Linked DNA regions of Danio rerio. The protein of the gene in region 1 purifies or fractionates together with the protein of each later gene. This does not show direct contact. Links are inferred from orthologs where the notes say so. Each region holds a gene or a part of one and is shown in the gene's direction. Other genes may lie near its edges.

Evidence for each region.
Region 2: the proteins of mink1 (region 1) and strn3 purify together in Homo sapiens (affinity purification with mass spectrometry; 3 studies listed by BioGRID and IntAct, with this or other methods). This does not show direct contact. The link is inferred for Danio rerio from reciprocal best matches to the Homo sapiens genes MINK1 and STRN3.
Region 3: the proteins of mink1 (region 1) and cnot9 purify together in Homo sapiens (affinity purification with mass spectrometry; 3 studies listed by BioGRID and IntAct, with this or other methods). This does not show direct contact. The link is inferred for Danio rerio from reciprocal best matches to the Homo sapiens genes MINK1 and CNOT9.
Region 4: the proteins of mink1 (region 1) and strn4 purify together in Homo sapiens (affinity purification with mass spectrometry; 3 studies listed by BioGRID and IntAct, with this or other methods). This does not show direct contact. The link is inferred for Danio rerio from reciprocal best matches to the Homo sapiens genes MINK1 and STRN4.

What each region holds. Positions count from the first base shown.
Region 1 is NC_133180.1:39,216,064-39,219,632, reverse strand, and holds part of mink1 (misshapen-like kinase 1), read left to right. Parts: coding exon 1-103; intron 104-1,228; coding exon 1,229-1,384; intron 1,385-3,335; coding exon 3,336-3,479; intron 3,480-3,569. UniProt on the Homo sapiens protein: Serine/threonine kinase which acts as a negative regulator of Ras-related Rap2-mediated signal transduction to control neuronal structure and AMPA receptor trafficking.
Region 2 is NC_133192.1:30,183,859-30,188,024, forward strand, and holds the start of strn3 (striatin-3), read left to right. Parts: upstream 1-1,336; coding exon 1,337-1,564; intron 1,565-1,943; exon of another isoform or gene 1,944-2,073; intron 2,074-4,166. UniProt on the Homo sapiens protein: Calmodulin-binding scaffolding protein which is the center of the striatin-interacting phosphatase and kinase (STRIPAK) complexes.
Region 3 is NC_133197.1:12,450,084-12,453,652, reverse strand, and holds part of cnot9 (CCR4-NOT transcription complex subunit 9), read left to right. Parts: intron 1-523; coding exon 524-706; intron 707-1,427; coding exon 1,428-1,543; intron 1,544-1,634; coding exon 1,635-1,744; intron 1,745-3,178; coding exon 3,179-3,288; intron 3,289-3,381; coding exon 3,382-3,480; intron 3,481-3,569. UniProt on the Homo sapiens protein: Component of the CCR4-NOT complex which is one of the major cellular mRNA deadenylases and is linked to various cellular processes including bulk mRNA degradation, miRNA-mediated repression, translational repression during translational initiation and general transcription regulation.
Region 4 is NC_133190.1:13,736,495-13,740,663, forward strand, and holds the start of strn4 (striatin-4), read left to right. Parts: upstream 1-1,333; 5' UTR 1,334-1,471; coding exon 1,472-1,756; intron 1,757-4,169. UniProt on the Homo sapiens protein: Calmodulin-binding scaffolding protein which is the center of the striatin-interacting phosphatase and kinase (STRIPAK) complexes.

The sequences.
Region 1 (3,569 bases):
AGGGGATTGGTCAAGGCCTCTGGAAAATCCTCTTTTACTACCTTTGTGGACCTTGGAATGTACCAGCCATCAGGGGGTAGTGGAGATAACATTTCTGTTGGAGGTAAAGTGGTTAGTTTGGGTACGGAGATTTTAAGGGGATTTTTAACACAAAAATGTAAATTCCTGTTTAAGTTTCTGTTTTGTTGAACCTAAATGAAGATATTTTGAAGCTTGTTGGAAATGGGTAACCATTGTCTTCCATAGTATTTGTTTTTCATACAACACATGTTAATGTTTACTAGTTTCCAACATTCTTTAGAATCTCTTTTTATGTGTTCAAAACAACAAAAAACTCCCAACTGGTTTAAAAACAAGTCAAAGATGAGTAATAGATGACAGAATTTTTGTTGAATTTTTTAGAATCATTTGTGGGTGAACTACCCCTTTAAGATACACTATTGTTCAACAACACAGGGTGTACTCTGTTCACTGCATTTACAATTACAGGAAAAACAAAAATATTAGCAAACATTAATTTTTAAGATAAATTTTATGATGTAAACTAATGTGAAAGATTTTTAAGTATAATTATTGTCTCATTAAGTAATTAGTGTCATTCAAAAGTCATATTAATATGCTTTGATTAGTGTTCAAGATTGTTGTTTTCTTTAGTATTTTGTGAAAACCATGATCATTTTAGCCGCATTTGATAGAAAGTTCAAAAGGAAGATGCTAATTTAAAATAATCATAATTTGTAACATTATAAATGTTAAATATTTGCTGAATATGTATATATTAATTTCTTAATACATATTGATTATTTGAAAAAGCAAACATTTGAACAGTGCTGTTTGTGTAAAGCTTAATACATTGGAATACATGAGAATATTTATTTACTTTTTTTGTTGTTGTTGAGAATCAAAATTGATCAGATGAATCTACTGGAAATGCTATATTAATTTAAATTTTCTTACATTACTTGAGAAATATATATATATATATATATATACTTGAATTGCAGCATATATTTAAATTATGTTCTCTCATAACATTACATATTTTCCCCCATAGCTGTATGTTTTGTTCTAATGAATCTTCTACATGTTTACTGGAAAACAAGACAGAAGATCTGAGCAAGAAAATGATTTCAGCACCCTAGACCTGTGACTGTTTCTTGATGGCTGTGAATCTGTTTCTGACAGATGACTCAGTGTCTCTCTGCTGTGCGGTTTGTGGGTGTTGTAGGTCTGGGCTCTCGTTTTGAGCAGCTAAAGCTGGAGGTGAGGAAGGGCTCCATGGTCAATGTCAATCCCACAAACACACGTCCGGTCAGTGACACTCCTGAAATCCGCAAATACAAGAAGAGATTTAACTCTGAGATCCTCTGCGCTGCTCTCTGGGGTAAGAGCCATGCGTGTGTTTGTCAATCTAACGAAGTACATTTCTCATAAAGCCATCCCAACTGTCTATTCTTACTATCAGGGTTGGGCAGAAATACTTTAAAATGTATTTTAAAATAAAATGCCAAATACCTTTTAGTTTAAGTGTAGGTGCATTAAAATAAACTACAAACGACAGCAGCCAAAATGTGTATAAAAATAAAAACTGTATTTTTGTATTTTAAAAATACTACAAAATACTTTTACAAAGCATCGTGACATTTCTTCCCAAAACCTACTATCAATAGGCCTATTGGATCAATCCCTTCACCATTAAACTGACTCAGTGTAATAAACAGTGTTTGACAGTAACAGTGTTTCTCTAAGTTTTAGCTTTTCTGCCACTTTGCTCATCTCAACCTTCAACTGTAAGACTTTCATTTTTGCATTTATTTTGTAGATAATTTCATACAGAAAGTCCTGACTTGATAATCTCATTCCGTTTAAACCATTTATTGCAGATGATAAGTCGAATCGTATTGCTATATCTATTGTTTGTGTTTTCACCCATTCTGTGGCCAGTAAAATTGTCATCATCTCTGTGCAATGATTATTCAAGCTCTTAATATTTTAAAAGGGTGATAAATGAAGAGTTTTAAATTTGTTTTGTTCCCAGAATTTTTCATAAATCTAGTATTTTGCAGTTGAACTCTTCAGTACTCAATGTGAAAACATGATTTCTGAAAACTTCTAAAAATTGTTATGTTTTTCTGTTTTTGCAAATAAACTCTTCATATACAGCTAAAGTCAGAATTATTAGAATTTTTTTTTTTTTTTTTTATGTAGGTGCATTCTTATGCATTTACGTATGTAATAAATCATCTTTGCATTATAAAGAAAAAAAAGATCTACTTTTTCTGCAAGGCATTGGTAATCAGAGTGTATGGATGGACACTAAATGTGACATTGTTCTCTCTTCTGTCTGCCATTAACTGTCTAACACAGATTTTTCTTTTTTCTGCAAGTCTTGATAACACCATCATTGATCATCTTTTATTATTTGAGCAAATAGGATTGTAAAAAAAAATATTTCTTGTATTCTCCCATTCACCTTGCATTAAGTTTACGCAAATATGACAACTTCCGCTACTGAGAAACCTGGAAAAGTGAAGAGGGTCTATTGATTTCAGGTAGCTTTGATCCATTTGAGTCACTTTACTGATTCAAGTATTTTACTGATTGCTGATTTTAGTTCTTTTTAATCAAGTTTTTACATTATTTTAGGGTAGTGAGGTTAGTGTATGAAGTGTGTGAAAATTGGCACATGATGAGATCAAGGCTATTTGTTCCTCCTTCTTCTTTTAGTGTTTTAAACCCTCCAGTTCAAACTCTTTAAAATGTAATGCACATTTTAGCTAAAATAATTCAGGCAAGTTTCCTAGAAACAAAACTTTCTTTCTTCTCTGATTTTTCTAAGCCGTGCTAGTGCAACAAGTGATTTCTGTTCTCGATTTTCTCCTTGTTCAATTGTTTTTATCTTTTTAAGCTCATACTACACTCATAGGGTTGCCAGACAGAAGTTTTTTTTCAAGAAATATATTTGTATCTGTGTATCATTTTAATGTGTTGACATGAACTTTGTTATCTTTGCACCAATTCCCTGAGCGTTCAGGAGGACTAGTTTGATGGCAGTGCCACCCACTGGCCAAAATGCATAAAATATGACCACAAAGCATGGTGGAATAAAGTGGCACAAGGTCAAATTTCTCCATAATACCCTTTTGAGCAGTGTACCGTTTTTTTCATCCACTCCTACAGAGAGTTTATTATATACAGTCAAAACTTTTCTACTTTAAATTCAGTACACCCCTAAAGCATGATAAACAGTTTTCTCAGAATAGCTCCATAGCACAGTCTGTGAGCATTTTAGGTCTTGAAGGGTGTGTGTGTTTTAACTGTGTATGTTCTGTCAGGTGTGAATCTGCTGGTCGGGACAGAGAATGGTCTGAAGCTGCTGGACAGAAGCGGTCAGGGTAAAGTGTATCCACTGATCAACTCGCGCAGATTTCAGCAGATGGATGTCCTGGAGGGACTGAACCTCCTCATCACTATATCAGGTTATAAAATGCTCTGTTCCTTATTTCACACACCCGTCTATCTTTGCCGGGACACATAGATATAGACCAGACCACCTATTTTAGGATCTT
Region 2 (4,166 bases), on another chromosome or scaffold:
TAAAAGCCCTGTTTCAAGAAGATTCTGTTACTGTGCCTTATGTAATGTCATATTGCAATGGTTTTGAAAATGATATTTCATGGAAGAGAGTTTGGTCATTACCCCACTTTTTAACAAACAAGATGAGAGAAGTTTCTGCTTTCCAGACAAGTGTAATCTTAAAAGACTTCAAAACCAACTCTTCATTTTGCTTAGTGAATCCTGAAATTTCTGTTCATTTATTTTGGAATTGCCCTCATTCACTGACATTTTGGTGTGATGTTCTTGATTTCATAAAAGACGTGAAGGAACATTTTACATATGAAAATGTTGTCTTTGGTTTCCATGAATGTAAAAAGGAAAATATTAATTATTTCTTAAACCTTTTTTTTTTTTGGCCAAATTTCAAGCTTTGAAAGTGTAAACTTTTTTTTTTTTTTGTAAATTTAAAAATGAAATGAAAATGAATTTTGAGTCTATTGAGGGATCAACAAACTTAAAAGCAATACGAACAAGGACTTGACATCTTGGACTAAATGACTAAAAACTCCTGGATTGTTGTTTGATTGATGACATTTGTTGTTAATGTTTTTCAATCATTAATATATATATATATATATATATATATATAACATACATATATATATATATATATATATATATATATATATATATATATATATATATATATATATATATATATATATATATATATATATATATATATATATACATATATACATTAACTGCTATAATTTTAAAAAAATGATTGCAATTAAAATTTGCTGTAATTGTATTTTACATTTAAACTTAAACCAATAGCACCTTTAAATTATAACAATAAACAACATTCTCGACGGATGCTATTGATTATTTCAAGCACTTCTCCTTTCACAAACCGTACTATACGTCTATAGATATTGTCAACGACACATTTTTATCGCCTCATCAAGTAAAAAAAATCATAGATACAAAGCGCATGCGCAGAGTCTGTACGTCGTCAGTCTGGATTCGGATGACTCGAGAGCGCGCAGGGCTGGGTGAACGCGTCCCATCATGCAGCGCGCGCGCCAGTCCTCCCTCACTCGCTCGCTCACCCCCGCAGTAGGAGACTCACATCCAGGGATCGGACTAATGGCGGCCGGCAAATCCGTGCGCTGACACGAAATCCACAACAGCCGCTCAGGTGCCAGCCTATTCGGTTGGGGGCAGGGCGACGTCGCATCGCTAAGCGAACGGTAAAAAAGGGAGGGTAGAGGGGTAACAATCGGCGACTTCTAGCAGGACTTTCCTATTTTTAAACATGGATGAACAGCCCGGAGGAGGAGGAGGTGGTGGTGGAGGAGGAGGAGGAGGAATGGCCGCCCAGAGGCAGCAGCAGCAGCCCGCACCGCAGCAGGGCAACAACAGCATTAATCCTCAGATGAACAGCGCAGGAGGAGCGCCTATGGTTCAGCAACAGCAAGACGAGATGCCCAGGCCCCAGCAGTACACCATCCCGGGGATTTTACACTACATCCAGCACGAATGGGCCCGTTTCGAGATGGAAAGGGCGCATTGGGAAGTGGAGAGGGCCGAGCTCCAGGTAACGTTGTAGACTTTTGGATTTTGCTGACACACTGATTGGAAACCCCAAATCGGGGCATCGACCGACAACTCGTCGGTTGCTTTAATTAAAAGCTTGAGGCTGAATTGCTAAGCATTTTACCATACATCTCGCAAGCTTCCTGTCCACCCTGTTTACACAAAATTTCAACACTAGCAGTTGTGTCAATAAACAAACCTTTCTTCATTTGAAACATGCGAGACATATGTATTTAGCATGCCTATATTGTAAAACAGCAATCTAGTAAGTCGAGTCGCTTACTCGTTCCTAGTGTGGATGTGCTAAGCTAAGCTAACATGACATCGCTGTATTGGCGATAATACGCGACACCCGCTACGATGGATTCAGATTATCTTACCCACGATCACAGAAGCAGATCTAATAGTTGTTTGTTGCGGATTTATTGTGTCACGGGACGCATCTGTCAATGAAAGCCAGCAGACTTTGTCAACTATTCTCTTGTTCTGCCATTTTGTTTTGGTCAATATGGCGTCCGTATGGGTCGCTTTTTTATTGATCCATCCTACTGGGGCTCACTTTCACACCCTGCTTCAATTTTAGTATGTTTTACACACTGCATCTTTTATAAGATTCAAAAGAACATTAAGGGCTTTCTGATCAGCAAAAACTAGTTATCATAAAAATGCTGGATGACAGCGACGGTCACTATTTACGTTCGTTAATGAAACATAACGTTGCATTTAAAGGGAATAGAGTTTGAGGCGAGTTGCGAACACTCTGACTGATATTTGTACTTGTGTTACACATATGACAAACAAACTGTGTTAAACCGGTTTGGAACAACACGAGGGTGTGTAAATGATGACACTGTTCATTTTAGGTTCACTCTCCTTTAAGATCGCTATGAGCAGATAGACTTACTAGTTTAGCTCCTGGTCAGATCAGTATTTTGGATGAATCATTGGCATTTGGATAAGTCTCTTGTCACTATCTTTTTTTGTCATTATTTACTCACCCCTATGTTAATCTCCACCTGTATGACAGACTTTGTATAACACAAAAACACAACACGTTTGACAGAATAACAAACCTTTTAACAGTTGACCTGCATTTGTATTTAGAAAATACCTTTATCAGTTAAATAGTTTGTTTCATGGAGGTGCAGCACACAACATTTAGACAATATTGTTGTTTTTGGCAGTCAAATAATTAACAGGTAACATTCAGTAACGTTTACTTGAGTAAATTATAACCATGGTTTTATTGTTGTAAAAGTGTCATCACCACGTTTTTGTTGCATTGATTACATTTGCATAACTAAAGTTTTACTTCAAAGACTATGGTTAAACTATGGCTTAACCACAGTTTCCATGGTTTTCAGTTTTGTTAGTAAAAAAAAAAGAAGTGTCCGCTTGTTCTTAAAGTATTTTATTTAAAGTTCTGTCATCCTTTGTTCATCTCCTTTTTTTAAACATATTAAGAGTTTCTTTATGTGGAGGCGCAAGCTATTTTGATAAATGTTTTTGTTTTTTTTGCCTATGAAGAATAATGTAAACCGAATGAGTGATGACTGATTTACCAACAAACATTGTCTGTCCTTTTTTCCCCCCATGACTTTTGTATTTTTTGCTCGCCTCTCACTTTGACAGATTTATTTTTGGGTGAAAGAGTGTGTTATGACAGCCAAATCTCCATTCTCCCCGTATTAATGGGTGTAGCTGTCATATGTTCAGCCTACTAGAGATGTGGACGGCAGTGTAGCTTTTGTGAATGAGGAAAGGAGCTGGCAGGACTTGGCATTATGTAAACACAGTCAGTCTTCATTTCAGAGGCTGAGGAGTCTCTTCACTACCCCTGTACAGACTTGTTTTGTGACATACTTTCAGAATGACTCCCACCTCAAAACTAATGTGCACTTTTCATTAGAGGAAGTCAGCCCTCCCACACTCATACCGATGCAGGTCCTAAAAAGAGGGTTGGTCTTGTTTATTTGCTTTGCATTCCATATTTCCGAGGTTCACTTGCCATCTAACCATTAGACGCATACCGTACATACCACAAACGAAATGCTGCAAGTTGAACCAAATCAAATCATGCTGCCAAATATGAGCGCTTTGATTCTCCAGCTTTGCATGCAGATGCTTAAGTCCATTACCAGGTGCTGCTTTTCAGTGCTGGAGACGTTGCTAATGTTATAATGGATAGTGGTTCTGTGCTACTCTGATAGTGTCTGGATCTAATTGATGTGAAACTCTTCCTGTCAGCTTGCTTGGCTAGTAGGCATAGCTCTTAGCAGAGATGTCCTGAGCAGTCACATCAGGAACGGGCCTGATTGCTGTTATCTGGGTTAGCTCAGGGTTTGTAGGTCATGCTAGCACCATCTTCATAGTCATAATGGCTCATTGCACATCTCTAACCAATCCTACATTTGAAACTTTTTTGAATGTCTGTAAATCCTCTTCTCTTTCAAATGGTGAGATACCCAATTTACAGGTCATACTACTGAATTCTACGTATGAATGACTTCCTAGGTCATCTGTGAAAGTATATAGATAGAAGTATTATTTGAGGGACTTTTATGTTGGAAAATCAAAACGATGCTACGTTTTCATACAGTCCC
Region 3 (3,569 bases), on another chromosome or scaffold:
GAGAAAAGATGTTTTTAACACATTTCTAAACATAATAGTTTTAATAATTCATTTCTAATAACTGATTTTTTTTTATCTTTGCCATGATGACAGTGAATAATATTTTACTACATATTTTCAAGACACTTCTATACAGCTTAAAGTGGCATTTAAATGCTTAACTAGGTTAATTAGGTTGACTAGGCAGGTTAGGGTAATTAGGCAAGTTATTGAATAATGATGGTTTGTTCTGTAGACTATTGAAAAAAATATACAGCTCAAAGGGGCTAATAATTTTGTCCTTAAATTGGTGTTTAAAAAATTAAAAACTGCTTTTATTCTAGCCGAAATAAAACAAATCAGACTTTCTCCTGAAGAAAAAAATATTATCAGACATACTTTAAAAATGTCTTTGCTCTGTTAAACATAATTTGGGAAATATTTAAAAAAAAAAAGAACAAAACAAAAAAATCAATGGTGGGCTAATAAATCTGTCTTCAACTTTATATATGATGACTAAAGAAGTGCTCTCTCACTCTCACAGACTGTAAGCACAGCGGGTCTGGCGCAGGTGGACCGGGAGAAGATCTACCAGTGGATCAATGAGTTGTCCAGTCCAGAAACACGAGAGAACGCCCTGCTGGAGCTCAGCAAGAAGAGAGAGTCTGTGACTGACCTGGCCCCAATGCTCTGGCACTCCTGCGGGACCATAGCAGCTCTACTGCAGGTCTGCTTCAGTTTCTTTCATTCTAGACACAATTCTTTTTGATTTAAAGAAATATTAATTGAATTGAATAATTGTGTAATTATTATTATTATTTTACATATAAATAAATATTAAGTGGCATAACTGTATGTTTTTTTAATATATATCTGGTTAATTAATTCATTATGCAATTAATAATACAATAAGTAAAAATTAATTACAAAATTATTTTAGGTAATATTAAGAGGGATTTGTAAATGTAGGTTTTTTTGTTCAATGTTTTTATTCAATGTACACAATTTTGATTAATCTTTTTGATGAAAATGACATTTAAAATGAATTTTAAAGCAATAAATTGACAAACAATTGTTTAGTAAAACATGAATTATTTCAGATATTTGAAAAATTATGGAATGGAGTGATAATAACTGTATAAGTTACAAATATGTCCCTTTTTGAAAGAATTTTAATAAAATTTAGGGTTTAAGTAGTTTTTTTTTCTGCACTTTGAAAATTAAAACTTTTTGTAAACGCTCTTTTCTGACATTTGACACTAAAGTAGTTCTTCAGATATTCAGATACTATTAGAATTTATATTGAATAGTAATAAATAACAATAATAGCAAAGGCTTTTATTGTAATCAAAACAAGTTCAAAGTTTGAATTCATTTGAGAAGGTAGAAAAAAATAGAGCAAAGTTAACTAAATTGAGATTAATAATTAATTTTTTTTTTTTTTACAGGAAATTGTTAACATCTACCCATCCATAAACCCCCCGACACTGACGGCACATCAGTCTAATCGAGTGTGTAATGCCTTAGCACTGCTGCAGTGTGTGGCGTCACATGTAGAGACACGGTAACACACTTCTTATAGACACAGAAAACGACACGCTCTCTTTAATGATTCGCCACATTGACTGATCCTCCGATTTCTTTCTCGTCCTCAGTTCTGCTTTTCTGGCAGCTCACATCCCTTTATTTCTCTACCCGTTCCTGCACACGGTCAGTAAAACCAGGCCCTTCGAGTACCTTCGGCTCACCAGTCTGGGCGTCATCGGTAAGAAAAAATATATATAAGTAAGATTGAACTGAAATGTTATCATTGTTTGGAAGAGCTATAAAAATATTGTGTGTATATATACAGTGCTCAGCATAAATGAGTACAGCCCATTTTAAAAATGAATATTTTTATCCATTTCTCAGTGAATATTGGTAATATATATTAGTGCATTTGAACAAAACAGATTTATTGTACAGATATGTTTTATCAAAATAATATTTTAGTCACATAACATCTTTAGAAATGGAAAGATTACTTATAAATTCATGCAAAATATTGCAAAAAAAAAACATAACAAACTAGAACATTTCAACAAAATTGTATATATTTTGTATATTAATTTGTATAATATTTTCTAACATATAAATTTGGGCTACTAATTTCTGAACCATTATTGTAAGTTTCACTTTATTAGATTAGCTCCAGATTTGGATTCAGTACTCACTAATCTAATGTATATGCACAAATGTAATATTGTAAAGCTTCCTATAGAAAATATTCATTTAAATGAGAGATTTGTTTGGGGTATATATGCTGAGCACTGGATATATAATATTATGTAAATTGCCAAATACTTTAATATTTGGTAAAAACATAAAATAAAAAAATATGAAATACATATAATAAACTATATGTAATATAATTAAGATAAAAGTAGTAAAAACAGTATTTTGCATTAGGCGATACAAAAATACAATTAAGCAGTTTGAATTATATTTTCAATATGGAAGGGCATTTGTATCTATATATTGATTTTTTTTATTTTGTTTAGTGGTTTTGCAGTTTCAATTTGTGACATTTCTGTATCTATATTTAAGTTTTTGGATGAAAATGAAAGTAAGACTGAACTGAAATGTATTCATCTTATAGGAGCATTAGTGAAAATGGTGAAAATACTTTTTATACATACAAATTTAATATATTTATATAATGACGTAAATTTGCCAAAAAATTAATATGAATTTTCCATTCGTTAAAAAATATATATACTTTGTAGCAGACGAAACAAAAATACAATTAGTGCAATCAGTTTGAGTAAATTTTTGAATGTGTATGTTTTATTTAGTACATTTGATTTTTTTCAATTTAAATATATTTCATTATTCGATTTTTGATGAATATGCTAAAAAATTAAATAAATAAGTAAAACAGATTTACTTTCATATATGAATTTACCATTCACAAGTAATAAAAAAGGTATATTTAAAAAAAAGTTTTATCAATGCATCATATTTTTGTTTTATTGAATATGTCAGGTGATTAGTAACCACGTTATTGACCTAGTTTTTTATTCATTAATTGATTTATTTAGTATATTTGATTTGCATTTACTTTTATAAATGTGTTTCTTCTAAATCCTGTATTGAATAATTTTTTGGGATGTAATTGTGTAAGCCTGATAAATAAGCCAGAGATGCGTTTGTCTTATAGGCGCACTGGTGAAAACAGACGAGCAGGAAGTCATCAACTTTCTGTTAACCACAGAAATAATTCCTCTCTGTCTGCGCATAATGGAGTCCGGCAGCGAGCTCTCCAAAACGGTAATCTCATTACATGACATAACTTGACAAGTTATGAGTGTACGTGCATTATTCAGATGCATTTGATGTGTATTTCCTCTTTTCTTCCTTCAGGTGGCCACGTTTATCCTGCAGAAGATCCTCTTGGATGATACGGGGCTTGCCTACATCTGCCAGACCTACGAACGCTTTTCACATGTAGCCATGATACTGGTAATTAACTATTAATGTTCAGGAGTATTATTAACATGTTAGACATATTCATTTTTGGGTTCTGAAATCATTTGTCTTTTCGTTATAAG
Region 4 (4,169 bases), on another chromosome or scaffold:
AACTATCACAGTATTGTGGAAAGTCATTAGAACGAGTATTATTCAGTTATCCATTAATTTTATTGTATTAACATCTACATCTACTCCAACCCTTAACGCAACCATCAAAGTACCGTTAAAAACAGTCATTATGAGTATTGTTCATATTATTTATTTATCTATACATTTTATTGTAATAATGTCTACACCCACTCCAACCCTAAACTCAACCATCACAGTATCATGAAAACAGTCATTATAACGAGTAGTTTTCATTATTTAATCAATTATCCATTCATTTTATTGTATTAACGTCTACTACGCCTACTCCAACCCTAAATTGAACCATCACAGTACCACGAAAACAGTCATTATATTGAGTATTGTTCTTAATATTTATTCAATTATCCATTCATTTTATTGTATTAACGTCTGCGCCTACCGCAACCCTGAACTCAACCATCACAGTACCATAAAAACAGTCATTATAACGAATGTTGTCCGTATTATTTGTTCAATCATCCATTAATTTTATTGTATTAACATCTACGCCTACTCCGACCCTAAACTCAACTATCAAAGTACTGTGAAAAGTCATCATAACGAGTATTGTTCATATTATTTATTCAATTATCCATTCATTTTGTTGTATAAATGTCTACGCCTACCCCGATTCTAAATCCAAACATCACAGTAATGTAAATAAAATATTAAATATTGTTGTACAGTGTCACAAAAATGATGCTATATTGATATACGTTTTCGTAGCTGTATCCTTTTTTTTATTGTTGAATCCAGGAACATGCATAACAGTACATAATTATAAAATACTAAATCAATAAGTGACATTGACAAAAGATACAGTACAATATGGAACAATGGAAATAAGATAAGAGAAATAAAAATGAGAAAACAAACGATAAATTACAAGGATTAATTTAAATTTACTTTTACGAAGAACTTAAAAGCAGAGCATATTTTGAGTTTTTAAAGCTTCTCATTAGTCCCTGAAATCAACTTCTTGTAATTTTCCGTAACGTTATCTTGTTTAATGAAGACCACAAAGGCAGGTTTACTTTTTAGCTGTAGCTCTTCTTGCCTTTTTTAACTTCCCAGGTTCTGCAGGTTGCAATGTTTCAATCTTATATCTTCTAGACTTTACTCTGTCCATCCGACGAGATTTTGCGCTACTTCCGGCCGTACGGAGCTGTATGTTGTTCGAAGCTTCATGGAGCTTTTGGATCCACCAAGCGCCCCCATGTGGCAAACGGCTTTATGGCCTGTAATTAGCGGTCATGAAGTAGTAACGCATGCAGCTAGTCTGGGGTAGGAGTGGATCACTATTTGGCACTTCAGTGTGTATGAGACAGTGCTCGCCTATCTGTACCAGGCAGGAAAACGGGAGAGGGCTTCGGTGGAGACTTCAAGCATCGGGGCGGCTCATTCTTCAGCTTTTCCACCTCCTGGCTCCGGCGACAGCTCGAACGCTCTGATGGAGGCGGAAAGATCCGGAGGGATGGCGGGCGGGACGAGTCAGAGCCCCGCGGGAAGTGGAACTGGGCGCAATCCTAACGGGCCGAAGGCTGTGCTCGGTCCCGCTCCCTCCGCAGTAGCAGCCGCCGCGGCCGGGCCAATGGCCGGATCCTCCCAGTCGCGAGATCAGCAGGACGGGGACGCAGGCCTCTCGCTGCCCGGGATCTTACATTTCATCCAATATGAATGGAGCCGCTTTCAAGCTGAGAAATACCGCTGGGAGGCCGAGCGAGACGAGCTGAGGGTAAAAGCAGCGTTTCTTTAATCACTTGTTTTGGTCTCTTCCTCTAGACGAATTCCTGGAGGAAGAGCACATTTACAGTTAAGACGCAAGGGAAGTCACGACCGCCTGCTGGAATTGTTGTACAGATGTAGGTTGGGGATTACACGAGATTTAAGTGTTCATTTTTTTGCTATTTATTGCAACAATAGCAGATTTAACTGAAATACTGTCCTTTTGTTGAATAGCCATACCCACCTAAGGATGGGAATCGATTCTGTTTACGATTCATATTAACAAATCCAGTTCCGTAGCGCGGTTCTTTTATAGTTTTTTTGAAGGAGAAAAGTAATAACATCAATCATGATACATATTGTATTTACTACTATCAGTAGTCTGTAAACGTTTCATTGTTTGAGAGCTGCACTGAGAAATGCAACATCATAACAGTGTGTAAACAAATAATAAACAAGCAATATTCTGTAACACGATTCATTTTAAAATAATGCAATGACACAGATTAAGTCAATACTTGTATAGAGCGTCTCTTAATATGCAGGTTGTCGTAATAACTATTACAGGTTTTCCTCCATTGGTTTGGCTCTTTTCTTGAAACAGAAATTACATTCCCAAAACAACATGGACAAACCTCCAAACCACTTGGCAGTTGTTCACACCAGAATTGAATTTCTCATTAATTTCATCAAATTGTAAATGTTTAAGTACATCTTTGCAAATTATTAAGTAAAAATAGCCGACATTAAGCACAATTTCCAAGTGAATAGATCTTGTTGATTTAAACTGATTATTCATTCTCAGTCTAATGGTTGTTCTCTTCAAAATGTTTCAGCGTCATTTCATTGTTTGTCATTGAAAGTACAATAGTCTGTTCAAAATTAGTCAAGACCATGAATACCATACAGTAGGTGAATCCTTGGAACTTTTGATTACACTATTACATCTATTTATACTTTTTGCTCTGACATATGGAAGTTACTTTGTGTGTGGTTGATTATTGCAATAAAAAAAGGAGTTACCATTACCCTGGCAGTATGAGTGCAATGTGTGACGTCAAACCTTGGAGGCTACTCTTACCCTAAAATCCTATTTTTTTTTTTTGTTCAGTTTTATACACAATTGTATTCTGTTAGCTAGACAAAAACAGTACAGTAACCATTGTCAATGAAGGACTTGGCTAAGACTGTAAGGTGGACATGAGGGATATTTTAGTGGTCCTTTGCCATAATGACAGAACATCTAAACATTTTGACTTGCAGTGCTTACACAATGCTAAAAGGACGAAGCATTTTGGGGGCACTGACTGTTTAAATGAGAAGGAAATTTAGTTTTGACACATGAGTGAACTGTTTTGGGAAAGGTATGAGCTTTTGCAAGTGAGCCATAGTGTTGTGCTAAACTGTAACACTGTTTTGCCAAATGATCTTAGAATTTTGAGAATGTAATTTCTGTTTCAAGAAATGAGCCAAACCAATGGAGTAAAACTGTAAGTCAAACACAGATTTAGTTTTTGGTACAATTTTAATCGCACGTACTTACACTATGAAATGGAGGAAGAAACTGATCCATGATGAACTGATCCATGTTCTGAAAGTCCTTACTGATCATTCCTTTAACAAACAGCCGATTAATTCTTCTTTGTAAGCATGTAGTTTCCAGAAGCACTCGAACTACTCAAGGCTGGGCTATAATGCTGAGGTTTTATTTTTGGTCAGAGACTGTCAATATTATCCATCTGCACAGCGTGACTTCATTCGACCGGTGTGTGTGTGGCTTTTTTTTCGGTGTTAGTGGGCGGGGCCGCAGGTTTCAAATCTCCCGGGTTTGTGCGCTCAACTAATTGTGTTTCATAGTCGCATCATCGTAAAACACCTAATGATTCGTTATCAAGACGACTCGTTTGAAGCACTGAGTCGACTCTGTTATAGATGAATCAATAGTTTTAAACACTGTACACTTACAGATTTACGCCTTACCTAAATATTACTTCACTTAGAGCCGTGTTACACACTACATAAAAAAGGCCATTTTCAAAAACCCATAATATGGGCTCTTTAAACATTTGGGCACAATAAATTAAACGTTTGCAGCTGAAAGATTTACTACATTTGTACTCAAAACGATACATTGTTATAGAGCTGCACGATTCTGGCTAAAATGAGTATTGCAATTTATTATTATTTTATTTTTTATTTTTTTGCCTAAAATAAAAATCACGATTTTTTCATGATTCTGTAGATTTAAAATAAAGGTTAATGTGACTAGGCTATTATTATTAGTGTTATTCTCAAACAAGAGGTAAAACAGCAATAGGCTTTGTGTAGCTGTACTGTTGGTTAAAATTTAATTTCTGTCTTCATGTGGAATGGTGGACTTGAACAGACTTTTGTCATGGTCATTAATGCTGATGATAATTCTG